7 separate regions of the Mus musculus genome follow, and all the other regions are reported to be linked to region 5. The links are microRNA targets in miRTarBase. Many come from high-throughput screens and were not tested one by one. Region 5 holds a microRNA gene; each other region holds the end of a gene's coding sequence. Distances are from middle to middle.

Evidence for each region. Region 5 holds the annotated microRNA mmu-miR-466q (GUGCACACACACACAUACGU, at 1,769-1,788, opposite strand). A microRNA usually pairs through its seed, bases 2 to 8, with sites in the 3' UTR of a target mRNA and lowers its output. Matches are read on the target gene's strand: a 7mer-m8 pairs with bases 2 to 8, a 7mer-A1 pairs with bases 2 to 7 and ends in A, and an 8mer does both.
Region 1: the mRNA of Unc5b is a reported target of mmu-miR-466q. Seed matches in the 3' UTR shown: 7mer-m8 at 2,771-2,777.
Region 2: the mRNA of Llgl1 is a reported target of mmu-miR-466q. Seed matches in the 3' UTR shown: 7mer-m8 at 1,468-1,474.
Region 3: the mRNA of Lin54 is a reported target of mmu-miR-466q. Seed matches in the 3' UTR shown: 7mer-m8 at 1,795-1,801.
Region 4: the mRNA of Uhrf1bp1l is a reported target of mmu-miR-466q. Seed matches in the 3' UTR shown: 7mer-m8 at 1,575-1,581.
Region 6: miRTarBase lists Prkab2 as a target of mmu-miR-466q. Seed matches in the 3' UTR shown: 7mer-m8 at 3,504-3,510.
Region 7: miRTarBase lists Flvcr1 as a target of mmu-miR-466q. Seed matches in the 3' UTR shown: 8mer at 630-637.

Annotation. Positions count from the first base shown.
Region 1 is chr10:60,761,822-60,765,888 of GRCm38, reverse strand. It overlaps Unc5b (unc-5 netrin receptor B), which reads left to right. Exons shown (of 17, transcript NM_029770.3): 17 at 516-3,295. The coding sequence ends at 681. Among named protein-coding and RNA genes, the nearest start is that of Slc29a3, 11 kb to the right of the region's middle.
Region 2 is chr11:60,712,569-60,716,635 of GRCm38, forward strand. Llgl1 (LLGL1 scribble cell polarity complex component) reads left to right here. Exons shown (of 21, transcript NM_001159404.2): 20 at 54-160; 21 at 353-1,618. The coding sequence ends at 477. It overlaps Flii (flightless I actin binding protein), which reads right to left. Exons shown (of 30, transcript NM_022009.2): 22 at 3,837-3,976; 23 at 3,524-3,764; 24 at 3,235-3,389; 25 at 3,098-3,158; 26 at 2,893-3,021; 27 at 2,716-2,822; 28 at 2,463-2,568; 29 at 2,021-2,086; 30 at 1,575-1,879. The coding sequence ends at 1,745. Among named protein-coding and RNA genes, the nearest start is that of Flii, 13 kb to the right of the region's middle.
Region 3 is chr5:100,440,651-100,444,717 of GRCm38, forward strand. Lin54 (lin-54 homolog (C. elegans)) reads right to left here. Exons shown (of 13, transcript NM_172714.4): 13 at 1,383-3,627. The coding sequence ends at 3,426. Among named protein-coding and RNA genes, the nearest start is that of 5430416N02Rik, 13 kb to the left of the region's middle.
Region 4 is chr10:89,817,415-89,821,481 of GRCm38, forward strand. It overlaps Uhrf1bp1l (UHRF1 (ICBP90) binding protein 1-like), which reads left to right. Exons shown (of 21, transcript NM_029166.2): 21 at 521-2,455. The coding sequence ends at 637. It overlaps Gm26180 (a small nuclear RNA gene), which reads right to left and starts at 4,032; the gene lies at 3,926-4,032.
Region 5 is chr3:28,417,709-28,421,775 of GRCm38, reverse strand. Mir466q (microRNA 466q) reads right to left here and starts at 1,833; the gene lies at 1,758-1,833. All of the region lies in intron 2 of Tnik (TRAF2 and NCK interacting kinase), which reads right to left.
Region 6 is chr3:97,669,265-97,673,331 of GRCm38, forward strand. Prkab2 (protein kinase, AMP-activated, beta 2 non-catalytic subunit) reads left to right here. Exons shown (of 8, transcript NM_182997.2): 8 at 464-3,819. The coding sequence ends at 541. Among named protein-coding and RNA genes, the nearest start is that of Gm31242, 9.3 kb to the right of the region's middle.
Region 7 is chr1:191,004,422-191,008,488 of GRCm38, reverse strand. Flvcr1 (feline leukemia virus subgroup C cellular receptor 1) reads left to right here. Exons shown (of 10, transcript NM_001081259.1): 9 at 54-121; 10 at 279-2,657. The coding sequence ends at 350. Among named protein-coding and RNA genes, the nearest start is that of Gm31373, 14 kb to the right of the region's middle.

The DNA of each region.
Region 1 (4,067 bases), not on the chromosome of region 5:
GGTCAGAGGATAACCTCCGATCTCTTTGTTCTTCTGCTTGCCCTGAGTGTCAGGTAAGCTAGCCCAGGAGCTTACAGGGACTTCCCCTGTCTGTGCTTCCCAGCTCCCTGAAATGGCGTGCTCAAGGAACAGTGGATTTATAGACGTATGGTTTTCATGTTGGCTGCAGGGATTTGAACTCAAGTCTACACTACCCACAGAACCATCTTGCCAGCCCTCATACAGACTCTGAGTTCCTCCATGGGTTTATCTGTTGATGAAGGCAGAGGTTCAAGTTGCAGGAGCTTGCTCAGCCCCACCTCTAAACCACGCTAGTAGGAGATCAAGAGGACCAAGGGATGAGTCTTAGCATACATGGACTTGCCTAGGGCTGCAAAGTCTACAACTGGGGAACCCAGGAATCAAGACTCAAGGCTGCGGGACTCTGGAGCCCACAGTCTTCCCATCACCCGGGTCTTCCCAATTCATGGGCTGGTCACCTCAGGGGTGCCAACATTTCTGTTTCCTTCCAACAGGTACCTAAACTACTTCGCCACCAAAGCTAGTCCCACAGGTGTCATCTTAGACCTCTGGGAAGCTCGGCAACAGGATGACGGGGACCTCAACAGCCTGGCCAGTGCCTTGGAGGAGATGGGCAAGAGTGAGATGCTGGTAGCCATGGCCACAGATGGCGATTGCTGAGTGCCTGTGACCACAGGCCTGTGGGGATCAGTAGGAGACGGTGCAAGGAGGCCTGGCAGCCTCTGCACAGGGGTGCCCAGCCTCCACCACTCCTGGCTCACAGCAGGAATGGTCCTTCAACTCCCTCCCCGCCACAACCCTCAGACCACCACCACCAGCCTTAGAAAGTCTCTGTGCTCTACTGCCAAGAGGCCGGGATCCTCTGGCCCACTGTTTCCCCAGCTCACTCTGGGGTGGGCTGAGGCCTCTGGGACAGCTGAAAGCCAGAGGCTTTCCCCTGCGACAACACACCACCCTCAGCCCTGTGACTTTGGGGACCCACAGGTTTCAATTCTGTGTTCACATGGTCCTGGGCTAGGGACCGCTCTCTTATCCCGGGTCGAGTTCAGTTCAGGCAAACTGCTTTTTCCTGTCCACAAGCAGAGAGGGAAGATTAGGGGAGTGGGGGTGGGGGGTGGGGGATGAGCCTCAGAAGTCAGCGAGACTCAGGTAGTGAGAGAGCAAAAACAGTAAGGGCAAAGAAAGACCCAGTTTCTTAGGGAACGCAAATGATTTATTATCCAGATACTTGGATAGTTCCTTTTTAAGAAAACAAAACAAACAAAAAAAAGTAAGAAAAGGAAAAAAAAAACCTTTTATCCTTGAATGTGGCTAAGAGTGGCTATGCTTGTGATTTGGGCCATAGGCGAGTGCACTTGTGGACACATGTGTGTGTGGGTGTGGTCAATAAGAGACTGCACAGGGAAAGGCTTTGCTATGTCAAGGCCTCAGTTTCCCCAGCTGTGCAGGGAGCTGAGACAGGGTTTTAGCCATGGCCCTGAGTTCTAAAGTCACAAGCAGAAGCTGGGGCCTGGTGGCCTTCGTCCTCTCCGGAGCCCCCTGCAGGTGCCCTTCTGTGGCCTCCTCTGGCTTTGGAGGGTCCAGCTGTGGTTCTGGGAGACTGTTCAGGTCTGTTTGGTGATTCCTGGTCTCGTGATGGCCAAAACTCTTACTGAGAGGGAGGGGGTGTTCCAGGGAGGGCTCTCTCCCTGGGTGAGGCTGGGTGGCTCTGTGTCTAAGCTGGCACTAGCCGGTCTGCACCCCTGTGCCTCTAGCCATCATTTTACCCGCTGATCTCCCTACTGGGGTCAGGAGATATGAAGGTAACTAAGTAGACAGCTGTATACCCACTCTTGACCACAGCGCATTCTGGGATGTTCCATGGGGCCAGTGGAAGGGATGAATTCTTGTCCCTTTCAGCCCACGGGCAGTGACAGGGACTAGGATCACTGGTATTGATCCTATTGAGATGCTGACTTCCCTGAACTGCCCTTGACCAGCCTGAAAGCTTTGAAAGTTGGGGCCTCTGTGAGGAGGCAGGTTTCATGGCCACAGACCCAGCAAGCATCTCTGCCCTGGTTTTCCTGAAGTGGGGCTCTGAGACAGACCAAGGTGCCCCTGGCATCTAGGTGAACAGTGCCTCATAGAGTAGTCCTCAGCTCCTCCTGCCAAAGATGCTCATCCCTGTGGGCATACTCTCACTGGTCACTGTTAGCCCGCACATAGAAGGGGGAAGCCAAGGTGGAGCTGTGCTGTGTGACTTCAGGCACATAACTGCTTTCTCTGGGCTTAAGTGTCCTTTTATCCTGGGATGCTCCACGAGGCCCCTTGGGTTCCCACGCTTCTCTGAGAATCGAGTAGAGACAAGTTGATTGTGGTCTGCATGCTCTCTCCTTTGCCCGTCCTCGGAAACCTGCCTGTCTGGGACCTGAGGGAGCACTTAGTGAGCAAGTCCCAGCTTACAGTCCGACTCTTACTTAGAAGGTGCTCAGCATCTGGGGCACAGAAGCTAGAGCTGGAGCCTGGGGTAGGGCTCTAACCAGACAGCCCAGGTAAGGTCAAGCCAACTCTGAGCTGAGCCAGACAGGGCTGTTGGGTTGGGTTTCCATTCCTGCCTCCAATGAGATGAAGCCTCTCCCCTTCCCATTCCTAGCCAGCTTGGCGTTGCTGGGTCCTGCAGGGTATTTCTGTGTCATCTTGGGTAGTATGTGTGTTTGGGAGCATGTGTGTGTGTGTGTGTGTGTGTGTGTGTGTGTGTGTGTGTGTGTGTGTGTGCATGCCTGTGCTTTTCAACTTGGCACATCAGGGCACCCCTCCCAGAACACGCACACCTATCCCCACATGTGGACATGACCTCTGTGCCCAGGTTTGTGCCACTGGAGGTGGGCGTGCCTGTTTGCTGTCCCCGAGTCACAGTCAGTTGGTGTATCTCCTATGTGCCTCTCTGCTCTTCTCAATGGGGCCAGGTGTCTGAGTTCTGGCCATACCCCTTGAGGGACAGGGACCCTTCTTATCCCTGGATCTTTCAGGGCTCTCTGGTCCCCCATCTTGAGGCTCCCAGGCATCCGAGACAGCACCTTCCTCCCACCCTCAGAGGTCAAGTGGGTGGGAGCTCAGGTGCCGGGGTGTGGACATGGCTGTGTGTCTGTGGGTTCTGATATGCAGGGGACGGTCCCGGCCCTGTTCGTCCATTCTGTAAATAACTTGTAAATAGTCTTTAGCATTCCTCTTGTAACAAGATTAATTTTTATGAAATAAATTATATTTCCTAGTCTAATTAAAAAAAAAAAATCCAGGTCCTGGTCTGATGTCTTCTCGGTGTCTTTTAATGGCAGTTGGGAGTGTCCTGTTCTTTTTGTACGTCCACAGCAGCTCAGAGCTCCAGACCTTGATCCAGCTCAACAGCCCCATCCCACAAAAGGGAAACAGGGCTTTCTGACAGTTACACAGCAAGTTAGGGCCCCTGGATCTCACCTTGCTCACCAGCCAAGCCTTAAAGCACACAGCAGAGGAGAGGAATGTAGAGAGAATAGGGTGTGTCCCATCTGAGGCTGAGTGGTCAGTTGAATGCCATACAGGCAGGAGAGTGATGGGAGTACATTGGGATGTGTGGCTGGGTGTGAACCTGGTGGTTTACACCCTAGGTAAATACCCCATCTAAGGAGGAGAGTGTCATCAGTCCTGCCACGCAGATGACAGACAGCATTGTGTGTTCTGCAAGAGTTTCCCTGCAGGTGGTGCCTGGTAATGAAATCATAAACCTGTGTCCTGCCAGTGAACCAGTCTGCAGGTGGAGGGGTGCATATTTTAATTTTCATGACTTGATAATTACCTCTGCTTAAACTGGTACCCATAACCCTCAGGTGGCTCTCAGGCCTCGCCCTGCATCTGGTTGGCAGTTCCCAGACCCCATGGCCTACAGTCCCTTGAGTTTGGAATAAGCCCTTGACCTGGTTGTGGAGGTGTCATGAAGCCCACCACACTATTCAGGGTCTGGAAAGTCCTGTGGTGAGGCTCTGATCTTACATTAACACAGGGTACTCGACCAAACATCTGTCTGCTAAGCT
Region 2 (4,067 bases), not on the chromosome of region 5:
GGTCAGATGCAGCACCTGTAATAGTCTCCATCACACTCCCATCTTTTTCACAGGCTTCAAGAGTCACCCAAGCTGAGCCAGGCTAATGGGACCAGAGACATCATTCTGGCCCCAGAGAGCTGCGAAGGAAGCCCTAGCTCTGCCCACAGCAAGCGAGCTGGTGAGAGGGCACAGGGGTGGGGCAGGCAGGCATTGAGGGTACCTGAGGGAGAGGGGTTAAGACGTAAGCTCAGGTTCCACTGAGCCAGGGCTGGAGGGCGCCTGTGTGTGCACATGCGTGTCCTGTGTGCTCTGTCGTTAGTACCTGGTCTCTAGGTGCACAGTAGATACTGAGCAGCACTTCTTCCAACAGATACCATGGAACCACCCGAGGCCGCTCTCTCGCCTGTGTCCATTGATTCAGCTGCTAGTGGGGATACCATGCTGGACACAACAGGGGATGTCACCGTGGAATATGTGAAGGATTTTCTGGGGTGAGGCCAGCTGCTCTCCCAAGCCGCCATCCCCAGGGCAACTAGGGGTCTTCTTACCCCAGCCCTTCTGATTACTGCCCTCCCCAGCTCTCCTGAGGACTCTGAGAAGAACCTGCGGAACCTGGAGGCAGATGATGCTTGTCGGGCCTACACCCTTCTGATTAAATGAGGTGCTGTGGGGCAGCCTGGCCTTACCACACAGCAGCTGCCATCCCTCACTCCAGCTGGAACCCTGCAGGCTTCTCTAATGGTGTCATTCCTCGAAGCCTAGCTGCCTTCCTCTGGCTGTCAGGCATAGGGGATCCACAGTCATGAAAGGGCCTGGCCTGGCAGCACTGAAATCCTGTGCATTTAGAAGGCCACCTCTGACCCTGTGGGTGTAGGAGTTGATGCTTATCCAGTCCACAGAGCCCATTTCACAGGAGAGTCACTGAGGCTGATAGGTCCTGCCTATTGAGCCAGCACATGGACCTTATGTGCCCCTACCGTATCTTGCTATGGACCCAGCCTAGCTGGAGACTGGAGCTCTCTGGACCTTAGTAGCTAGTGCCTCTGCAGCCTACATTGGGCATAGATAACTAACCATACCCTCTTCTACTTGGTACCCTCCTAGCTCCCCAGCAAGCCCATCTTGGGCCATCACTGAAAGGGGCTGCCTACCCCGCAGGCAGGCATGACCTGGGTTTGCTCCCCTTAGTCGTCACCATCTGTCGGTCTTGCCTTGCCCCTTAACACGGACCCGCTGACTGATGCTGGGCCCTGAACACATCCCAGCCTCAAGCTCAGCCGGAGGGGTGCGAGCATCCTTTTGCACTCCATACTGTACTTCCTTTCTCCTCAAGCAGAGTATTTTTCTAACGCCTGGACTGAGCTGGCCAGTCATTTCTAAAGCAGTTTTGGTACTTGCTCCTGGCCTGTGTGTATTGTGTGCTCCTGTGACTAGAGACTGCTGGGCGTCATGACTGAAGTCAGTCAGAGGTGTGTGTGTGCGTGTGTGTGCACGTGTGTGTGCGGCAGTGAGGATGGGCTTCCCTGTAGATGCCACCTTCGGCTTTTCTGTCTTTTTTTAAAAACTAGTTGTTTTAATATTAAAAGTACTGATTTTTTAATATTGAAAATAAAAGCATTTAATATCTTTTAAACTACATCTGCACACATGTGGACACACTGGTGGGGCTTGGGGCTGTGTGCTGCTTGCAGGCTGTGGCTAGCTGAAGCAGGTACGAGGAGTCCTCCTCTTCCTCACTGGAGTCTGAGGTCATAGGTACTGCTTAGGCTGGGGCTTGGCGGAACGTGCTCCAGGCGTGGAAGCAGCGGGTGAAGGCGCGCTGCTCATTACCTTTGCGGACCAGGCGCAGGCGACGTGGCCGCTCATGTTCTTTAGAGCGTGTGTGCTGGATGTATACCTGGTAAGAAAAACAATGGGCCTGGGTAGTCCTCTAAGGCCTGCTGGACTGACCACTGTGCCCCTTCCTCAACGTCTATCCAGGATGAGGGAGGGACAAGTGGCTCCTGAAACCGTCAGGCTGGCTTCAGTAATCTCTTACCTGGCAAGCCTTCAGACTCAGTTTGATCTCCACTTGGCTTGTCTGGGTCCCAACCCACATGTAGACCTGAGGATACAGAGGATGAAATGGTCACATGGGTTTCTTGGCCCTTTTGATGTTTATAGTGCTTTTAAAAAAAAACTGAGCCCAGGCTGGGCAGTGGTGGCGCACGCCTTTAATCCCAGCACTTGGGAGGCAGAGACAGGCGGATTTCTGAGTTCGAGGCCAGCCTGGTCTACAAAGTGAATTCCAGGACAGCCAATACTATACAGAGAAACCTTGTCTCTGAAAAAAAAAAAACAACTGAGCCCAGGGCCTTTGTATATGATGCTCAGTGCTCCACATGTGGCTGGTGGGAAGGCTGCCCCTGGCCCCAGTATTCCCAGCTATAGCGTCTCATCTTAATCCAGAAGGCAGGCTCTGAGGTGGGAGAATGTCTCACTTCTTGGCCATTGTCTAGCAGCATGATGTCATCGTCTGCCAGGTCATCTTGGCAAAAGTCAGAGCATTTCTCAGTCACTGCGAAGTAACCCTTCTCATTGGAGCACCTGTCGGGCAACAGCCAAGGTGAAGGGCAAGGTTAGAAGGATCCACCTGAAGAGCCCTGTGTGCTTCATGTACTTTGTGTCATTGTCATAGGCCTTGTGTGTCCCCGTGTGTGCACAGAAGCTAGGGGAGGGATGAGGGGTACTCACCTGAAGAGCCTCGTGTGCTTCATGTACTCCGCATCGTCATCATAGGGTTTCTGTGCACCAATGCCTACCCAGAAGAAGTTCTCTGGCTCCTCGCCTTCATTGATGACCTGTGAGAAGGGCTGGTCAGCCAGGGCCCTCATCTGCTCTTCCCTTCCTGCCTGCCCCCACCTCTGTCACCTGTTTGCTGTAGGATGCATCAAACATAGTGTTCAGGATGTCCTCTGCCAGCTTGGCTTCGTCGGGGTCTGATGCCCGACCTACCCAGGCATACACAATGCCTTGGTTGTCCTCGCTTTCAAAGGGGACCTGGGTATGCACAAGTGCTTGGGTCAGCTTGATTCTTGCCCACCACCCTGCTCTGCTGTCCTGCCCACAGCCTCACCTTGAGGATGAAGCAGAACTCAGAGTTGAGAAGGCTGGAGTCAGTGTTAATCTGGATGCACCTGGGGAGGGGGTGGTGGTGTCAGCAGTGTTACCTCCACCATGGAATCCTGTCCCCTCCCCAAGCCAGGTACCCACCGGGTGCAGAGGGCACTGCCGTTGGTGCGGATCTGATAGAGGGTCGGCTGAAGAGTACCCTGGGTCACCTTCCTCTTGCCTCGGTGAATGATGAACTTTCTTTTGAAATGGGATAGGAACTTGGGGTTCTCCTGCTGCTGTGTCATACGTACTACCTGGAGATCAGAAGTGCTGGGTAGTTCCCTAGACCCTGCCTCCAAGGGCCAAGCTCCCTCAGGCCTGGTTTGATCATACTACCATCCCAAGCACAGGCCATGGGGCACAGTTCAGGGCTTGTGTGAATACACACCTCCAGCTTGCCAGGGAAGAGGCTCTCAAACTTCTTCTGAAGACTGAATGTGAAGGTCAGCCAGCCCATGTTGGAGGCCTCCCGGCCCTGCCAGAAGTAAACGATGCACTGAAAGTCCTCCTCTGGCTGCTTCTCCTCTGCCTCCGCTGCTGCTTCCTCCCCTTCTCTGGCCTCTGCCGAGGCCTTCCCCTCCTTGTCTTCTGTCTTCTCTTCCTCCTCGTACTCCACAGGTACCCAGTACCTGCGATTCAAACAGTGGTGAGCAAGGGTTGCACAGGGAAAAGAACAAGAGGCTGAGGTTTTGCTCTGGCACCTGCAGAGGAAGACATAGCAGTCCTGTGTGTAGAAGTGGCCAAACTCCTCCTCTGGCAGTCGAGTGAACTTGCGGCCCTCCAGCACGAAGCCCTCCATGCCATCCAGGTCCTCATTCCACTCCTCCATCAGCTGCTCTGCCTGTTAGCCGTCATCAAGGAGATGTGAGCACCATGCTGTGCAGAGCCCCTCCCTCTCATGTCCCCCCCGCCTCCCCTCCCCCTCCGCACAC
Region 3 (4,067 bases), not on the chromosome of region 5:
CAGCTCTGGGTTGAGGGGAGGTGACGTTCAGATTCATTCACATATTTCTCCCCTTATCTCCTAGCCACAAGATTAAAAATAAATCTCTAAAAGCAAACAAACAAAAGCCCCAGAACTACAGCCCACAAGACACTGAGTATGGTGGCACCCGTGTCATGGAATGGGAGGTAGAAGAGAGGAAGCCTTTCCTCTGGCAACCCAAGCTACATGAGCCAATGCCTCAAAAGTACCAAACCACACAAAAAAGGTGACTGGCACATATCTATGATTCCCCCTAGCACTATGGAAAACTGAGGCAGGAGGACTATCAGGAATTTGAGGCCAGCCTAGGAAGACACTGTCCAGAAACTAGAAAAGAAAGAAAACCCAAATACACAAACAAAAACCTTACATCTGATCTATAGATTAAGTATTAAAGAAACTGTTACAAGAACTGGGAGATGGAGCTTAAATATTTTATATAATAGGAATCAACTTTATGACTGGGAGACAGAGCTCAACAGCACAACACTTAACCAGCATTCATGAAGTCCTAGCCTCAGTTCCCGACAGAAGGGAAATAATTAAAAGGAGGAAGAAGAGGAGGAAGAAGAGGGGGAGGGGAGGAAGAAGAGGGGGAGGGGGAAAAAGAGGGGGAGGGGGAAAAGAGGGGGAAGGGGGAAGAAGAGGAAGTACTGCAATAGAAAAGTCTAGTTGGTTCTGGGGCTTGGAGTGGATGGTCCAGAAACACTGTGTAAGGTGTTTACGACAGGGCTATGGCCGCAGTGCAGGGACAGAGTGCTTGCTGGGCTACCCAAGGTCCAGAGTTCATCTGCACAACCCAAAACACATCAGGATGTTTAAGGGATCCATCTGCCCTGAGGTGGAGCTGAAGGTTGCAGGTAAGCGTCAATGACCCAATGAGACCTCCTTTCTAGTCAGCATTACACAGCAAAAATGGAAACCTTTCTGAAGCTATTTTTATTCACATTTTACATAAGACTGCAGTTTCAGTTATGAAGTATCAAAAGACGGTGAGGCTACACGGCCCACCGTCCTTCCTCACCCAGGGCTAAGCTCACGGGAGTACCTACAACCCTACCCTTCCCTCTCACAGATAAGACCACAGGCTGCTTTGACCTCTTCAGAGCCACAAGAACTAAGAGTAGTCAGTCGCGAGAGAGTGCTTCATGTAGCTAAAAGAAAGTAGAGGCATTTCTGCCTTAGCAGTGGAAAAGCAGACATAGTCTCATTTCAATGCAATTCACATTAAGGAATTGGCAATGTCATCTTTAAAATTTTTTCAGAAGTCAAATGAACTTGAAAATCAGGTGACTTAAAAGGCTCCCTGCATGGCAAATGGTTAAAACTGGTATTGTTAAACTAAAGAAAAAATGCAAAACTTTTTTTTACAGAATAGTATAAATGTTTATTTTCTGTATGATTTATTCTTCTGCCCTGCTTTTACAATATAGAAAAGTGTACTTTTTGAATAGCTCTAGTAAATATAATCTTTCTACCTTAGGATGTAAATAGGGCTTAAAAATTATAGACCAAACCCTCCCCAAATAATCTTTTGAAATTGGTGATTTAATGTGGCTATTAACTTTGTTCAGCAATTTGATGCAAATGCCTAATACAAAAAGTTGTTCAGTTGGAACCACACAGAAGGAAAGGGGCTGATAGGTTAAAGGCTTCTTAAAAATCCAAACTCGTAGCTTTGATTGCACCTTCAAATTCTTACAAGCAAAACAATCTTAAGCAATGCCATCATACATAATCTACAATTATAATAAAAAATTCACAAACATTTTGTGCACACTGTATATAAATACACATCACAATGGTGCTATTAGAATTAACACATAATATATACAAAATGAACAAAGTTTAGGTTTAGACCAAAAACTTATTGCAGTCTTTTGAAAAATAACTTGATTAGATATTATTTTGTCCTCTTAGACTAATTTACATTTGTACAAAGTTTACTTAAAAACTCTAGACCGAGGTGCTAAGGATGCCTGCATTATCTACATTTAAAGTTACTGCACTGTCATCTTATAAAACCATTTTAAATGGAGGATACTTAAATGAGTAACGGAATCCTCTTGGGGTTAATTTCTATTGTCTATATCTTTCATGTTCATATGAACATATATACATACTTACTACTTACAATGCTAGAGTCCTTGTAGGAAGGGCAATAATCATATGCTAATAATTACCAAGGATTAAGGTACCTTACAAAATGTTTCAATTCCAACCTAGTTTTCTGCTTGTCATAAACTCAAGTCCTATTATAGTAGGCTCCCGAGTTCACACGGTTTCTAATTACTGAAGAATATAGAGGTTGTTTTTGCGAGTCTAAGAGCACACATACTTCAGCTTACCAAATCACTGTTTTAAACAATGTTGTATTAAAACTTCTTTTATAAAAAGCTGGCTGCAGTTCTAGAAGCTGCTAGGAGGCGCGTTTATCTCAGTAAACCAGGTAGGAGTCACACACTGACTGAACTCAGTCCAGAAGGTCTGCAGAGAAGTGTGTGCATAAAGCGCCACCACACATAACCTCCCAGCTCTGAGTCCTCGCGTCTCCAGCGAGCCAGACTTCAGACTTACTGCGTATGAGTTCTGTCATCATGACACAAAATGTTTAATGTAATTCATTCTCATATTTTAGTAATTAGCCATAATCACTTTGACAATTATTATAAAACATACCACCTCCTTCAGAGAAAATGAAGACGCCCCAGACCATGTTAGCCATTCCTCATCAGAGACACAGCCTGTCCTCTGAAAATTACTGCCCCTTAATATTTTGCTTTCTTTAAAGAAAGCATAATGTTTGTATTATACTGAAAAGTGTGGTGGGGATTGTTTCCCCTTCTGATACTCCCAACGAGACAGCAGACAGCATTCCAGAATCCACTCTAAAAATCTGATTTTTTTTTTTTAAGGATGGTGTTTCTCTAAACAAAATGTCTCCTAAATATATTTCATTTAGAATCTGGTTATGCGGACATTCTACCTGTGAATACTCTGGATCTGTAACCAAAGAATGGGTAATACCCATGCTACTTTGGCCTTTTCTACTGAACAAAGTCATACAACACCATACATTATAAATGATATCACTATAATTTATGAATGTTCTTTGTCAATAGAATCAGGACAGAACATCTAATTCTTAAGAAACCCAAGCAAATTAAAAAAATATATAATACATAAAAGAAAAATTTTTAAAGAAAAAAATTTAGAAGGGGCATAGGCAGAATTAACTAAGATTTTAAATGTACTAATTTCTTCTCTTTCAATATTATAGTTTCAGATCTCTTAAAACAAAGGCTGAATTAAAATACAGTAATTGTTAAGCTATCTTCTAGAAAATCAAGTGTCCCGGCACCTTAAATTTTCTGTACAGTTCCATTCAGTCTTTTGTGCAAGAGTTAGCAGTGCATGGCACAGGGGTCACTTTTGGCTTTTCCTGCAGAGTTGATGACGCTCATCAAACATCGTCCAAATTCCTCAAGTATCATCCGCTCTGCTGCCGCCTTTGATTTCCCCTTCTTGTCTGCCTGCTCTGCCTGGGCAAGAAGGCAATTACACGTGGCTTCAGCTACTTCTTTAGTTACAAATGTAAACGGCAATCTGCAATGAGTTTCGAGAGAGAAACACAGGTGATCAAGGTTGACCTGGGAACTCTACTGGTCCTGTATGCTGCACCAGCCTAAGGGAATCAGCTCTGAGAGAGCCTAAGACTCGGAGGGTTTGGTCTCAGGGAGCAAATCTAAAAGCAATTACCAGGAAAAACCTTTAACATAAATGACTTACTTCCCAATCAATGTTATCCAGCTAAATAAAGATGTGACTTTCTTACCACTTACACCTCCCACTTACACCTCTCCTGTCCCAGGAGCACTGTCCTGGTTTGACTATCATTTCTGACACAAAGGCATTTTAGTAAACACTACATATGATGTAAAAAGAACAAACAAAAGCCATGTGGGTGGCACTCAGAAGGCAGAGGCAGGAGGAGCTCTGTGAGGGGTCAGTCTGATGTACAAAGTGAGTTCCAGGAGAGCCAGTCA
Region 4 (4,067 bases), not on the chromosome of region 5:
TCTAAAGACGAGGAGAGGGTTGTTCTGGGCCAGGCTGTCTCTTGTCTATGAGCTAGTTGTATCATGGGACTAGTGAAAGTCACCTAAGAGAGTGACTTAGGTAAAAGAGAAAGTGGGAAACCGTGAGATCTAATAAAATTTGAAAACTGAAGGGGTCCCAGGAGGGGTGAAAAAGGAGTGGGTGGGGAGGTGGCAAATTGAAAGAACTGGCTGGTATAGGCAAAAAGATGGAGGCTTATGACAGAGAAGGAAGGTCAGCGCATCTGAAGACACAGAGGCCCCAGTGTAGTACGGTGACACAGTATCACTTTAAATTTGGAACTGAGAAGTTAATTAGTATTTTCAATTACTGGGTCAAAATGTAGGAACACGGTTACTTGCATAGTAATTGCTTCCCAGTTTTCAGCTCAACTGGACCCTCACCAGCACTGGGTGGTTTACCATCCCAAGTGATGCTACATAAAATAGTTGCATTTTTGGGAAGTGATTAAAACCTCTTGTTTTACAAATGTCATTTCAGCTCATGGAGGAAAACGAATGTCTCAGGCAGAGACTAGCTCAAGCTAAAATGGAGCTCGCGGAGGCTCACTCGGCCAGAGATGAGCTTCTCCATCAAATGAAGAGGATGGGCCTGTAGCTGCCGTGGCCGTGAGAACCGGGGCTAGAGCGCTGGAGAAGGACGGCTAGGTTTAACAGAAGGATGTAACCAGTTAGTGGGAAGTTTTCCTTTACATGAAATAAAGCGAGTGGTGAAGTGGCGGCTGTTCCAAACCCTGTGGAGGAAACCTTGGGCGCAAGCGGTACAGTCATCTGGGTGGCCCCGTGAAGGCTGCGCACACTGTAACACAGTTACATGCCTAATGAGAAATGTCAGTTCCTAACTTCAGTGTCTCATCAAAAGCATTTTTTACAAGAAAAACGAAGACCTGTTGTGCTCATGCAGATTGCTGAATTTATTTCTCTGTTAATAATTTACTATTATTTACAAAAAAAAAAAAAAAAAGATACTTTTAGGGCTAATGTAAAAGAAAAGTAGGCTTACATTTTAGATGTTATTAAAATTATGTACTTAATCTATAATTATTTAATTGTTGTAAAAAGTCCAATCAGATTAATAAATTATATAATTACTGAGTTTACAAATGGAAAACTCTTGACCCTACCGAACTTGTGAAGCAACTTGAAAATGTGAAAGGAAAGTCACCTTAAGTGATGGGGAGGCTTCAGTGAGGCACTCGTGTAAAATCAAAGCACAAATACAGGGCACTGGGCAAGTGACTTAAAGCATTCCTGTACATTCCATTAAATGTGTGTCATTAGAAGTAAAAAGGCAAGTTATCTTGCGATATTTGGCGGTATTTGTAACTATAAAAATTTTAATTAATACTATTTTAATAATTCTTTATCTTTCCTCTTTAAGGAGAATGTTTTCAGAGAATTTGTTTTTCACACATGCAGAACAATTTCATACCATTCCTGTAGCATCATATTACACATGTGTTTGCTCATATGAATATATAAAGCCAGTTTTGATTAGATTTCTGTGATGTATGTCTGTGTGTGTATATATGTGTGTGTGCACACACATACACACACAGTCTTATATATGAGTCATTGGTAAATTTTGAAATCTATTTTCTATGGGATAAGGTTGAAAACACCATGAGAGAATCTTAATTATGAAATAAAGTACATGAGTATTTTAAGAAACAGGTTTTTGAAGACAGTATATTTCTGATAGAATTAAAGTAAGTGGTGTCTATTTTAAACTTCACATTCCTCAATAGAACTATATCCAGATAGGCCATGAGACAGCTGGACTGTTCTTTCTTTAAGGTACTTGGGAACCCTGGCCCTTGCTATGACACTCATGGTGCTTTGCATGTTGGCCGGAATTACAGCCATCCCTGTATCTGAGGACTTGGCAGAAATCACATCCTTCATTACATCACACGTTGGAGTGATTTAAATTTTATTGTGAACAGTATTTGCCTTCCTTCTCCTCACATCATTCTTTTCGGGTGACATCATTTGATAAAAACAGGCACTGTTTGGGAGCCAACATACAGCCAAGAACAAATTAAATCGTTACTATATTACCTCAGAGTATTTACAACACCATGTGAAAACTTTGTTACTCTAAGCTGTATGTAGCCTTAGATGAAGTATGGAGGTCTAATTAGAGTTTCAGAATGCACACCTTGCTAACCTTTGATGTCTGGTATGGATTCAGCAAGAGCAGTCTCACAGAGGAGGACGGATGGGACATGAACTTCTGAGCTGACGCTGTTTCTCAGGACTGACCTGTTCTACATAAACATACAAGTTTTCTATGGAACAATGTTAAACTGTTTAATGTTACTAGACACTGAATGTTTTCTTTATTCCTTTAAGATGTATTTGGCCTTCCCATGAAATCGTATAAACAACAGAGATGATAATATGCTGAGCATTCAATATACTTTGTCCGATTGGTTTTTCCTTTTTCTTTTTTCTTCATAAAAGTGCTGTTTTGATAGTGGTTTACGATTAAGGAAACATCTCCCAAAATATTGCCGTGTACCCCCACAAACACAGGAGGTGGGTGTGATTGGGGTGCTAGAAATTTGAGAGGAAAGAGACCTTTGATGCTCAAAATAAGTTGGCTAGAGCCACAATTAGTGATGTGGCTTTGATTTAAAGTGCATGATTATAGGTTTTATCTCAGCACGGTCATCCGTTTGCAGACTTTGTCAAGGCAGTGGTAAAGGGACGAGTCACTGTCTTACCTGTTTTTCTTTAAAGAGGACTTTTAATTTTTAAAGATTTCATTTTTACTTTTGATTGTGTATATGTGAGGGTGGGTTTGTGCATATGAGTATAGTGCCTGTGGAAGCCAGAAGGGGCTGGAGTTAGCAGGAAATTGTCAGCTTCCTGACAAGGGCACTGGGAATTGAATCTTCTGGAAGAGCAGTACACACTCCCCACTGACTCAGCTCATGTGTGTGTACGCGTGTGTGTGTATTGATGGAGGTGTCATTGTGTATTATACACACTAATTGAAAGATACTGGGACAGTTTTTGTTTCATTAAATTAATCTCATACTATTTAGTAGAATAAGAAAAAAAAAGAAATAAACCTACAGTAAACATAGCACGATTTTTTTAACTTTTTTTTCTTTTTTAATATTTTTATTAGATATTTTCCTCATTTACATTTCCAATGCTATCCCAAAAGTCCCCCATACCCTCCCCACCCCCTCCCACTTTTTGGCCCTGGCGTTCCCCTGTACGGGGGCATATAAAATTTGCATGGCCAATGGGCCTCTCTTTCCAGTGATGGCCGACTAGGCCATCTTTTGATACATATGCAGCTAGAGACAAGAGCTCCGGGGTACTGGTTAGTTCATATTGTTGTTCCACCTATAGGGTTGCAGTTCCCTTTAGCTCCTTGGGTACTTTCTCTAGCTCCTCCATTGGGGTTCCTGTGATCCATCCAATAGCTGACTGTGAGCATTCACTTCTGTGTTTGCTAGGCCCCGGCATAGTCTCACAAGAGACAGCTATATCAGGGTCCTTTCAGCAAAATCTTGCTAGTGTATGCAATGGTGTCATCGTTTGGAGGCTGATTATGGGATGGATCCCTGGATATGGCCGTCTCTAGATGGTCCATCCTTTTGTCTCAGCTCCAAACTTTGTCTCTGTAACTCCTTCCATGGGTGTTTTGTTCCCAATTCTAAGAAGGGGCAAAGTGTCCACACTTTGGTCTTCGTTCTTCTTGAGTTTCATGTGTTTTGCAAATTGTATCTTATATCTTGGGTATTCTAAGCTTCTGGGCTAGTATCCACTTATCAGTGAGAACATATCATTTGAGTTCTTTTGTGATTGGGTTACCTCACTCAGGATGATGCCCTCCAGGTCCAACCATTTGCCTAGGAAATTCATAAAAAATATGGAATGCTTCACGAATTTGCGTGTCATCCTTGCGTAGGGGCCATGCTAATCTTCTCTGTATTGTTCCAATTTTAGTATATGTGCTGCCGAAGCGAGCACCATAGCACGATTTTTAACATTACTATTAATTGGAA
Region 5 (4,067 bases):
AGGACAAATTCTAAACAATGAAAATCCCCCCACGCAACCCCCCAAAAAACAATAACAACAACTTAGCATTTTAGAAGCAAAAGGTCTCATTCGTGTGGATTTTCATTAAAGAGTAAAAGAAAAGATCTAAAGCCACAGGAAACTGGAAAGACAAATCAATGGGGGAAATAAGCTCCTGGTGGTCAGGGTGAAGGTGCGTCCCAGCAACGCTGACTGAGCTTTTGCAAAGACAATGTTTGTGTGCTCTGCGTCCTAGTGGCCAGATGTCTTAGCCAATGGTGATGGGAACTGACTAGACCAATCCAGCAGGGCCAATCCAGAGGAGAGACTTGGCAGGAGACTTTGTGTTTTAAGGTGGCTCCTCCAGTGTGAATTTAGGGAAAATATTCAAAGGATCTGTGGCCACTCTCAGATGTTTGCTTTAAAGGGGGCACTTGTGGGGCTAGCAGGATGGCTCAGAATTAAAAGCACACACTGTTCCTACAGAAGACACTAATCTGGTTCCTAGCACCAGTATGATAGCTCAGCCCATCTGTAAATCTAGATAGACTGAGACTGACTCCCACCCACAGTCACCTAGCACACAAATGATGCACAGACATGTATGCAGGTAAAACAGCCATACACATGAAATAAAAATAAATACATCACATTAAAGGGAAAAAAGGGAGAGGAGAGAGAGAGAGAGAGAGGAGGGATGGTTGTCTCAAAAGAATTAAGACCATACTTAAACCACCCTTTACCTGTTTCCTAAGCTTATTCTGTCTTTCATTCTTTTCTGTTAATTGTATCGGGTGAGGGGCTAATGAGAGCTAGCTGTTACTAGCTGAGTGTGCTCTGCTGTCGTTTGGATGGGGTTTTCCCCATTGCAGCTCTGAGCAGAGCACCTGGTAGGCTCCTCGTCATATTTGCCCTAGCCAAGCAAGCCAGGAGCTCAAGGAAACACCTCTTAAGTGTTTCCCAGTTTGGAGGTTGCACACACATCCCATGTTTGGCTGCTATTATAGGCCAGAAGTTCCTAACACAGTTTGACTAAAATACATCCACTCTTTTCATTTGATGTAGATCTAACCTAACTTGTGCAAAAAATACTTATGCAAAGATACACAGTGATGGCAAATGAAATGCTTCTGTTGTTGTAGTTCTTCTTGTGCTCCTGCAGTACCAAATCTCGGCCACGAGCCACTTGTGAAATTCTGCCTTCTTCATTTCTAACCCTGTGAATAATGTCATTCATCCTGGAATGGAGTGATGGGTTACGGAAGGACAGATCAGCGTGACCTCTCTAGTGACTACAAGCCACTACAATTGTCCTCAGAGATGCCCGAGGTCCTCTGAGTCTCTGGAGCCCTTTTTATATATTAATACAATGACATCAAATGCTATTTTCGCTCTTGCCCCACAGTTGTACAGTGGAGTTTCCCAGAGGCTGCATGCCACAAGATGATGTCATCACTGCGGCTAATGGACATTGTGTTATGCATTAGTAATATTGTGCTTTAAAAAGTCCTTATTGTATTTAATGAAATCACATTTATTGGCACTATAATAAATGCTGGTAGACAATCCATCCAAACATACGGTTCTTGCACTCTTCAGTAGTATTAAGAATATAAAGCACACCTATAAGGCAGCTCAGAGGGTAAGGGTGCTTGCTGCCAAGCCTGACAACCTGAGATCAGTCTCTGGGCACTACTGGGTAAAGGAGAAAATTGACTCCTACGAGTTGTCCTATTATCTCCAGAGATGAGATATGGCATGCATGGGTACGTATGTGTGTGTGTGCACATATACTACACACACATACACACACACACACACACACACACACACACACTAAAGAGAAGGTAATAAGAATATAAAGGAGATTTTTAAAACTGTTTCAGGAGTAGAGGGGTCTTCCTAAGGTAGACTTTAGATAAATATGGTAGTGACTGCCTGTAATCTCAACACCCAGGATGTTAAGACAGGAGGACTGAGTTCAAGACCAGGCTAGACTAGAGACCCCTGTTTCAAGCATGGGAAGGAGTTAAAAATAAAGAATTTCACTAAATTCCTTCAGTTTTCTGCATGAAAATTTCTCAGCTCTTTTTTTTTTGCTCCACCCCACTGTTAAGCACTCTCTTGTGATATATACATTTAATACTTCAATAAAGTTTTATTTGCACCTATTGCAAACCCCACCTTACCCCCCAGATAGTAGTAAAGTCTACTAGTAGTATACCCATGTGGACTCAGCTGAGTAGAATCCAGATGCCACATTCTTCAGAAGGGTTTTCACAGCCCAGAGCAAAAAGTATCCAATTGTCTATTTTCTTCAAGGAATATACCGAGGCTTTCTGAAGCATTTATACTACCTAGTCACTTCGGATCCTACTCTGTTTCTCCAAATATGAATTTCATGTCAGCTTAAACCTAACATGGCTCTCAAACGCCAGTTTTCACCCACTACTTCCACTCATTAACATACTTGTGGTGAGCACCTAATAAAAAGAGAAATGGCAAACTCTAGTCACAAATATAAAACACAAAGCAAACTCGAGAAAAGTTTTTGTATATTTTTACAACTCGGGGAATTTTTCCTCACCCAAATCTAATTACCGGGAGCCTAGGAAGGAAAGTTCACATCATAATGTATGATGAGAAGCGTTTCCTCTAATTATACAAACATGATACAAATAGTTCTGTGCAAAGTGCTTCACTGGATAAATATTAGCATGCCATTATCATCGTTCACTGACTAATCTGGGCACTGGCACTTCTCTGCAGACTTCGTAAAAAACAAGGGAAGAGGAAACGAGGTCATGAGTGAGTCCTGCTGCACACAGGAGCACCCTATGTATCTCCATCTCAACTCTCTAATCAGATGAGAAGCATGCATGCTGCCCATGGCTTCTCGATGAAGATACTGATGCTCAGAAGAGGTCGGTACTTTGTTCAAGACTGAAAGAGAAAACTGAAGCTGGAGCCCATCCCATGCCTGTCTCTGTCTACTCTGGTGCCCGCTTTCCAGCAATCTTTTTTCTTAAGAACCCTCACCCGAGGAAGCATGTTCCAATACCAGTTGACCCAGAAATCAGAGTTGTGAAGGCTTCTTCTGGCGCTGTTTTGCAGCACTTGTGTGTTTTCAACAGGCATTCTTAGTGGACCAACAGAACAAACGATACTGCAGTTAGCAGTTGGCAGAGCACTGTGACAAATGATACACTCTTAAAAGAAATTAGAGAGCAGAATCTACAGTTAACATTGCTTTGTCTCGAGACCAGCTCCCCTGTACACCATTCTGATATGCAAAAGCCAAGCTGTGTATAATGTCCCTTGTATGTATATTTCCAGGGCTGTCCATTTGGTATTGGATAAGCAATTTCTCCTGTTCTCCGCATTTTGTAGGTCTTTGTGTAGGATGGAGGGCTTTCCACTGCCTACTTCAGCATGTCTAGTGTTGCCCTTGTTCAGCTCATGTTTAGATGTTATGGATATAGTTTCTAACTGAATAGGTTGTATTTATGTTTTTAGAGATATACCTACCTACCTACATACATACATACATTCCTAATATGTGTGTATGTGTGTAACAATAAATAATGATAAAAGAGGCGATGAGTTTGAAAGAGCACAAGGCATTGTGGGAGGGTTTGGAGGGAGGAAGGGGATAATGATGTAATTATATTATAATCTCAAAAAGAGGGTAATTTTTTTGAAATGCTTATATATATATATATATATATATATATATATATATATATATATATCCATGGGACATTCATGGGTCCAAGTCAAACTTCTGCACTCTGGGCTGTTGAGGAAGGGCAGGGTCTGCGACACCGACATGCATTTCTATGCCTAAACATAACTCCAGGTCAAATAATGGTAGGCATATCATTGTATATCTGTTATGACCAAACTGGAATTTTTGAAAAGTCTAGAAGGTGATGCATCAAAATGATGAGCCTCAAAAAATTAACTCTGGGCAGTATAATTTCCAACTACAAGATCTTTTTGTAATTGTCCTACTTGTTCCAAAATTATTAATATATAACATGGATAATTCATAAAAATGGAAATGA
Region 6 (4,067 bases), 69 Mb from region 5:
AAAGCCAGCCTCTTTTGTCTCAAGTTGTCTCTTTAAAAGTAAATGTGTTGGTTAGTGTTATTAACTTGAAAAAAAAAATTAGGACAACCAGAGCTATGAGTCTGAGCACATTTATGGGGAATTATCTTGAATATGTTAATTGGCATATGAAGACCCATCTTAAATGAGCAGGCCATTCCCTGGCCAGGGTATCCTGGACTGGATGAAGTGGGGGAAAGCATGCTGAACACAAATGTGCACTCGTAGGATGTGCTCAACAGCTTCAGTGTCCTGACGTGTTGGCTTCCCTGGCATAATGGACTGTCTTCCAGAACTGTGAGCCAGAAATAAACCTTCTCTCCCTTACATTGGTTTTGATGGGGTGTTTTGCCCCAACAGTGAGTGACTGTGAAAGACTGAGAGCCAGGAAGAGCCAGCAGCCACCCAGATGAACGAATCACTGTGTGTGCTTCTCTCTCTGCAGGACAGTGTGATGGTCCTTAGCGCAACCCATCGCTACAAGAAGAAGTATGTCACCACGCTGCTGTATAAGCCCATCTGAGGAAGGCGTCACGCCTTGCCCCCAAGGATTCTGGAGAAGCATCTCCCTTGCCTTTGAACTGAGCTGGCCTCCTCTGAGGCTGGCAGGCTGGTTTGTTTTGAGGCTGCTGTGTGTGTCAGAGCCTCTGATAGGATGCTCTGCTTTGCATTTGATTGCAGATGAGAGCTTTATGAGTTCACGGAGTTTATTTTAAGAAACACAAAACCATATATATGCATATGAGAGAAAGGTTACCGGAAGTCTCCTGGCCCCGCTGTACAGGTTCTCTCTGCCTGTGGGTGGTCGCCAGGGCCTGACTGGGAAGCAGTGGCCACAGGAATGGGCATCCCAGAAGCTTCTTTTTCTAAAGTGAGAGAATAGCAAACTCTTAGGATCTTTGTTGGGCAGAGGTTCTGGACCACTGGTGTCCAGGGGTGAGATGTGTGCCAGGCTGCTGCCCTCCTTAGAGCTGCCTCAGTGCAGGGTGGCTTTCCTTGCATGGACTGATTCTGTATTCCCACACTATGTGACACAATCTCCTGTGTGTTTATATGACACTAGATGCCCCACAAGAACCCTCTTCATTTTATGTACCCAATTTAATAAGTCCCCTCAGATCTCATACATGGCCCAGTAATGCAAAACTCACTGGGCAAGGGACCCTTCTGAAAAGTCTGTGTGATTAGACTCTCCTGAGAGACTAGAGGTGCCAGGGTCTCCTTTTTAGCTCAGCGAAGGCCTAACCCAGTGTGTTACAATTTATTTTAACATCTAGGGGAAAATGAAGCTCTTTTTGTTTCAGTTTGGTCCTGTATATTGGCTGTGTGAGCCTGTTTACGGTTTTTCTTTATCAGAGCATTCAGTTTGTAGATAGGTTTGGAATTAGGGAAAACTTCCGTATCTTTCATCCCTGAAAGATTTTTTTTTTATGTGCCTACATTTTTCTTTAATTAAAAAAAAAAAGCTTATCCATCCATGTTAACAGGCTGTTAAAGGACCTCAGGCTTTTGACAAATGGTTCTTAAGCTTTTCTTCTCTAGTCTAGGCAATTCTACAGTCTTGGGTTAATATGGCCAGCCATGTGTACCTCGCTACCCAAGCACAGCTCTAGACACAAGTTCATGCAGACTCACTGGATGCTCATGCAGGCTCACTGGGTGCTCATGCGAGGTTTCCCTACCATTAAAGATGTGTGAGGCAAGGAACTACCCTCGGTGTTCATAACCGTGCACAGTATTGCTCTTTGCACCAAATATTAACAAAGTATTTTTTTCTTTCGCCTCTTCCCTTTAAATGTGTTTGATGATGGAATGGGGTCACTGATAACCACTGACTGAGAAGTATTCCAACCTACTCAGGATTGAAAGGAAATATTTTTTCCAGTATCTTGACACTTCCATTTTACAGATAAATGTAAGTCAATCATTAGGCACTGTTTCTGGTTGAGAGCCTTCCTGTCTCCTGAGATGAGCCAGCCACATTGAAAGGGACCTGCTGGTCAGTTCACCTACCTCCTGGCTCTCCCACATGAGGGTGGCACAGCAAGTCCTCTGCACACCTCTGAGGCCTCTTATCACAAGGGTGAATAGGAAGATGGGGAGGTTTCTGTCCTGCAGGGAGTACAGATCGCTCAATGCCTTGGTACATGAGTCCTGGGAGATGCCGCTTCAGCCATCCCAAGCCACCTCCCTCAGCTGAGACTCTGTGGAGAACCCTCGTGGTCCAGTCAGCTTTCTGAATAGTGTTCCATTTTGAAAGCCAAGGCCTCATCTTGGTTTTTCATCAACTCTAAGGCCCTTCAGTTATGTCGAAAGGTTTTATTTATTTTTTCTGTTTTTCCTCAGTGCTGATTTAGAAGTGGGCCACCCAGGAGGATTCAAAAGCCTTGCTTGTTTCCCAGTAGGATTGTTGTATCTACACTTCCTGTTAACAGTCTAAGCTGGGATCATCTGTGTTTGTGCATTAAGTTTTGACCCCTCAAAGTTGTAGCTATGGAAGGGTGGGGAAAGCTGTCTTCAGTCTCTCACTCAGGCTGATGCTTCTCTGACGGGTGAGGCTGTGGTGATAGAGGGGTGGGTGCTGATGGCCTCATCTGGAAATGCAGGAGAGAGTTAGAAGGGCTGGCTGATAGCTCACCAGCACTGTCCCTGTCCTGGCCCCTGACCCTGGGGAATGCTGCCCCTGTCACCAGGAAACACTTGTAAAGAGACAGAGTGAGTACCGCTTTTCTTTAGTTACTTTAAGGGGCAGTGTGTTTTCTACAATAAAAAGTCGGACAGAATTAAGAAACAAATCAAGGCAAAACTATTTCTTTTTCTTTCCCACCTATGGGAATTTTGCAGGGTCAGTTGGTAGTAAAACGGCCCTTAAGGAGGCTAACACAACACCTGTAGTGTAGATCAGTGCCTGTGAGGCCAGGGAAGCAGCGAAGGAGCCCAAGGGAGATAGCAGGAACTGAAGGCTCAGGGAGCTTGGCACTGAAAATGTCCCCTTAAAGAGTTCAAGCAGACATCACCTGGTACAAACCACTTAGCAGCCCAGAAACTGTCTTCTTACCCTGTTCTCACCCTTTCCTCTGCGTTCTGTCTGACTTCACTTATCAGTAAGACAGGTTCACCAGAGTCTCAAGGAAAAAGACCTAGACAGTGTGAAGAGCTTTCACTCGAGCCATGGTTATTAGCCTCCTGTCAACCTAGACCTGAGTAGGATTCACACCTCTGAAGGGCTCAGCTAGCTTCTTCAAGAGCCCTGGCCTCTTGGGCCGGAAGTACAAAGGAAGAAAACCCGTTTCTGAGAGAAACCTTCGCCCAGCCGTCCCTGCTGGTTTTGGTTTTTTGTAGATCTAATGGATCTTTCATAAACCTTTTGAAAAGTGTCACTATTGCATGCATGCTGTTAAAGTGATGTGACGTGGAAGTGGGAACAGGGCCTTTAAATGTTTGACCTCAAAACAATATGCAATAGTCCCTGTGGGTGTGTGTGTGTGTGCACATATGTGTATGTGGTATTCCTTCTGTTCTCAGAGATACTTAGTCCTCATATTCTTGTGACCTGGGGCTTAAGAGCAGATAAATATTTTGTTGGTGTGTTATGACTAATCCTCAAAGCCAAGTTCTTGCTGTCTTCTGTCAGCGGCAGACTCCAGTTACTCATGAATATGAGACCAGGAAGAAATAAGGGTCTTTCAGGACTCTGGATCTAGGCATTTGTCTGTCCTTAAGTGACAATCACAACTGGAGATTGAAAGACTGATTTCTGCAGTGAACAAACATGTTTGGAGTAAAAAAAAAAAAAAAAAAGCCAATTGTTTTTTTCAATTATAGGAAAGGGAAGAAAAAAAATCACAAGTCTCTTGTAGGATCCACTGCCTCTAGGATTTTGAACTGGATCTGTCTCAGCTTGTTGTTCTTCTCAGCGGTACTTTGAAGAAGCAAGCTTCATTCAAAATAGAAATGTTTAGTACTTCCAGCATTAGGTGGAGTTGATTTGAATTAAGTGTGGCACAGAACTTTTGCAGTAAGTTTGATGTGAAATACTAAATATTAGG
Region 7 (4,067 bases), not on the chromosome of region 5:
AGGTAAAAGAAGAGGGTATCCGCTTATACTAACTCTCGGTAATTCTGTTTTAGCGTTGATCAAGTCTGATCTGAGAAGGCACAATATAAACACCGGGCTTACAAACATTGACGTTAAAGCTGTAAGTAAGATACTTTTATGGCTGTACTCTGAGTAGATGGGATAAATGGGAAAGCATTCTTGTTTAATCAGTAACATTTATAGCCAGTCAACAATGGACGGTGAGGTAGCGAAATTCGGGTGTGCTGCATCTCCTGAGTGTCAGTTGTTTTTTTCAGGTACCAGTTGATAGTCGGGTAGATCCAAAACCCAAAGTGATGGTGTCTATACAGTCGGAATCTTCACTCTGAAGAAGCCGGTGTGGCTGCCCCTCAACATGGGCATGTGGCTTCGTCTTTGGGCAGCTGTGTGAGGTGTGAGGCACTTGAAAATTATTGGATGAGTTCTGAATATTTTGTTTTGTGTTAATCAGCGATTGTGCTTACAATGTCCTCGTGTTAGCACTCCCATTCATGTAAACCTGTCTAGTCTCAGTTGTGTAGTGTGTACCTGAAAGTAACATTATTGACATTTTTTTTCAGGATGCTTTGTTTTTTTATGGGTGTCTAGTTCCTGTAAGACATATAAGAGTGTGCAATTCACACATAAACACATCTGGTACATTCCCAGTCAGTTGTCACCTGACTGTACTGACCATGTCAGGGTCACGGTTAGAGTCACAGTGTGAATGCAGAGTCCCATGAGAAGCACTGACCCACTCGGACAGGGCTGGGGTTAGATTCCCATCTCTTACACACCTGTGTATTGTGACATGTTCTGTCCCACAAAAACAAACAAACAAACAAACAAACCAACAAAATGGTTTTATGCACAGATTAAGTCCATTATACTCTGGTTAGCTAGGTAGCTGAGACACACACAGATCATCTGAGATCTTCTTTGTGCTGCCTTCATACAGGTAAACATTAATGTACTACAACTTGTAGTAGTTTTATGCCCTTTGTCCATTTTCACTCTCTTAAAAGAAACTTTCATCATCTGTGTTACGGGCTAGCTCGTGATTTCTTACATCACATCTAATTTTGCCTCGAAGATGCCCAAGATAAGGAAGTCTGTGATAACTTCAGAGAGCCCATGTGTCTCCATTCTGTGGAGAGTCCTTGAAATACTAGCTGCTGTCTTTCCAGGATCATTCCTCTGTCTGACCACTGTTTTTAAGGACTACCAGCCCTTGCACATGTCCTGTGAACGCTGGGAGCAGGTTCTGCTGCACCACACCGTGTGTGTAGTCAGTACTCTGTGGACACTATCTCGTACACACTCAGGACAAGGCGAGTGGGACCAAGTGTATTTTCACAGTGCCTACCACTGTGTCTTGTTTACAGTGAGAATTAAATGTCTTTGATGTTTTGACTCTTAAGCTTACATTCATGACATTTGATCAATCATAATATTTACATAGTGTGATTTTGAAAATTTTACAAAAAATTTACATAATATAAAATGCACACAGAAAAAGTAATCATGTAATGAATATGGTTGAAGCAAATGCAACTTTGATTTAGGCAAAATATGCATTGACTTATCTTGATATTATATTCTGTTTCATCAGATTACTATAAATTATGTGGAACTTGACATTGGAAAAATGTACTGAAAGAACTTAGTATCACTCAGGATCAGGAATTCTGGTTTTGTGTCCTGGGCATGTTCTGCCTTGGTAACTCTGGACACATCATTTACCCTCTCCGGCAACATTTTCCTGATCCATGAAATAATGCATTCACACTGATCTAAATGATCTTTTTAAAATATTGTCATTCATCACGAAGTAGGCCAAATCATGGTACCACAGGAATTTAGAAATCTAACTGCAATCTGGGCAGTGGTGGAACACACCTACACCCTGTCTTGAAAAACCAAAAAGGAGGAAGGAAGGAGGAAGGAAGTAATCTAGTTCGAGTAAACAATTGTGATTGGTTATGTAGAGGCAGAGAACTTCAGCTCTGTTTTTAACTCCTTAGTCAGTCTGTAATAGTTCAGGTAGAATCTGTATCATCAGCAACTTCTTTTAGTTTTTCTGTCACAGGTTACAAATGACCAAAAATGCACTGTCTCCCCCAGCTGTTTCTGTTTCTAAATTGACAGTGTTGTTTACAAGACCATATACATGTTACTTCCTGAAGCTTTGAACAAATTACAGATAAAAGTTGGAATACTTAATGTCTGAAAAGTATATTCTTGTTTTGTTTTTTATTGTTTAGAAAAGGGATAAAGTCTGACGTAATAATGCAAAATGAATCGATGATGTTCTCAGTATTTTAAGTGGATGTATGGGTAATACATCAGATAAGAATTTGATAAAATTCTATGTCATGGGTATAGAAGTAGTAATTATCATCACCTGTGTCTGCCTTCATCAGATGGTTTCAGAAGCTGTTGCATCTGTAAATGTTGTGACATAGCTTTTGTCTATTGAGATTGTTGGAGTAATATCTTTGAAAATGTTTATGTTAGCAACTGGAATGGCACCTATGTCTAATGTCTTCATTCCTGTTCTTATTTTGCTACTTTTATAATTTCTCTATGTGCCTGTTCTTCATTATTTCATACTTAAAATAAATTTATTTTTTTAGTGCTAATTTTATATGTCCTTTAAAAACAAATCCTGGTGTCTGATATGTGTGGGAAGTTAGAAAGCGATCATATGGTCTTAGAGACAGCCATAGAAGAATGGAGCCCACTGTCATCAGTACTCAATAGAAAATAAATGTAAAATAATGTAAGAGTAAGCTGGGAAAGGGGCTCAGCAGTTAGGAGTGTGCACTGCTCCTGTAGAAGACCTGAGTTTTGTTCCTAATATCCACATCAGGCGTGGTCACAACTGTCCCAGGGATCCACCACACTCTTGTGGCCTCCCTGGGCAACTGTACTCATGTACACGCCCGCACACGTGTGTATGATTTAAAACAAACAAACAAAAAACTTTAAAAAAGAGATTTGCAGAGGGCGATGTCAGCATGGCAGTGGAGACTTGACCTCGGAAGCACTGTTTCTCAAGACTCTTCATAGATTGCGCTTTTGTTGGAGGTCCAGTGAAGAGGTTTCAGCATAGTTCCAGCAGAAACCCCGTGAAAGGCAGGTTAAGTTCACGTTGTTAACCCCATCCTCCCACCACAGTGGCACAGCACAGTGGCAAGAAAGAATTCATCAGGAAGCACAGAGCAAACACTCCATCAGCTCTGTAGATGCTGTCTAACTGGCCCATTTCTGGCTTAGTCCAGCCAGACTATTGAGGTGATTGGTAGAGCTGAATGTCAGAGAAGGCCAGAAGCAGGAAAGGAAGACCAGGGAGACTCTCGGCTCCATCGGGAAGCCACTTGGGATTCCTTGCCTGTGGACCATGGACACCTCAATATTCTGTGTACCATATACTTGATCAAGCTGGTTTTCCAGGTACATCCACAAGTCCACATAGATAGAGTCAACTGAGCAGCATTAGAAGGTGCCCGAACTAGAGAAAGCAAACAGGAAGTGGCCTGGCTTTTCAGGATGGAGAGAAGACAAAAGGGAACAAGATAGGTAAGGGCAGGTAAGTCCACAGCGAATGTCTGAGCCTTAAAATCCCTAGCCAGGCTGAACTTTGTCGTTTATGCATTTCTCTCCTAAACCGTTGTCAGTAAAGCCTGCAGGGGGGCCAGAGGCATGGCTCAGTGAGTGTCTTAGTTAGGGTTTTACTGCTGTGAATAGACAGCATGACCAAGGCAGCTTTTATAAGGACAACATTTAATTGAGGGTGGCTTACAGGTTCAGAGACTCAGTCCAGTATCATCAGGGTGGGAGCAGAGCAGTATCTGGACATGCTTGGTACAGGCAGAGCTGAGAGTTCTACATCTTCATCTGAAGGCTGCTAGTGGAGGAAGACTGACTTCCAGGCAGCTAGGATGAGGGTCTTAAGCTCACACCCACAGTGACACACCTACTCTAACAAGGCCATACCTTCTAATAGTGCCACTCCCTAGCCCAAGCACATACAAAGCCTCACAGTGGGTAAGGTGCTTCAGGCC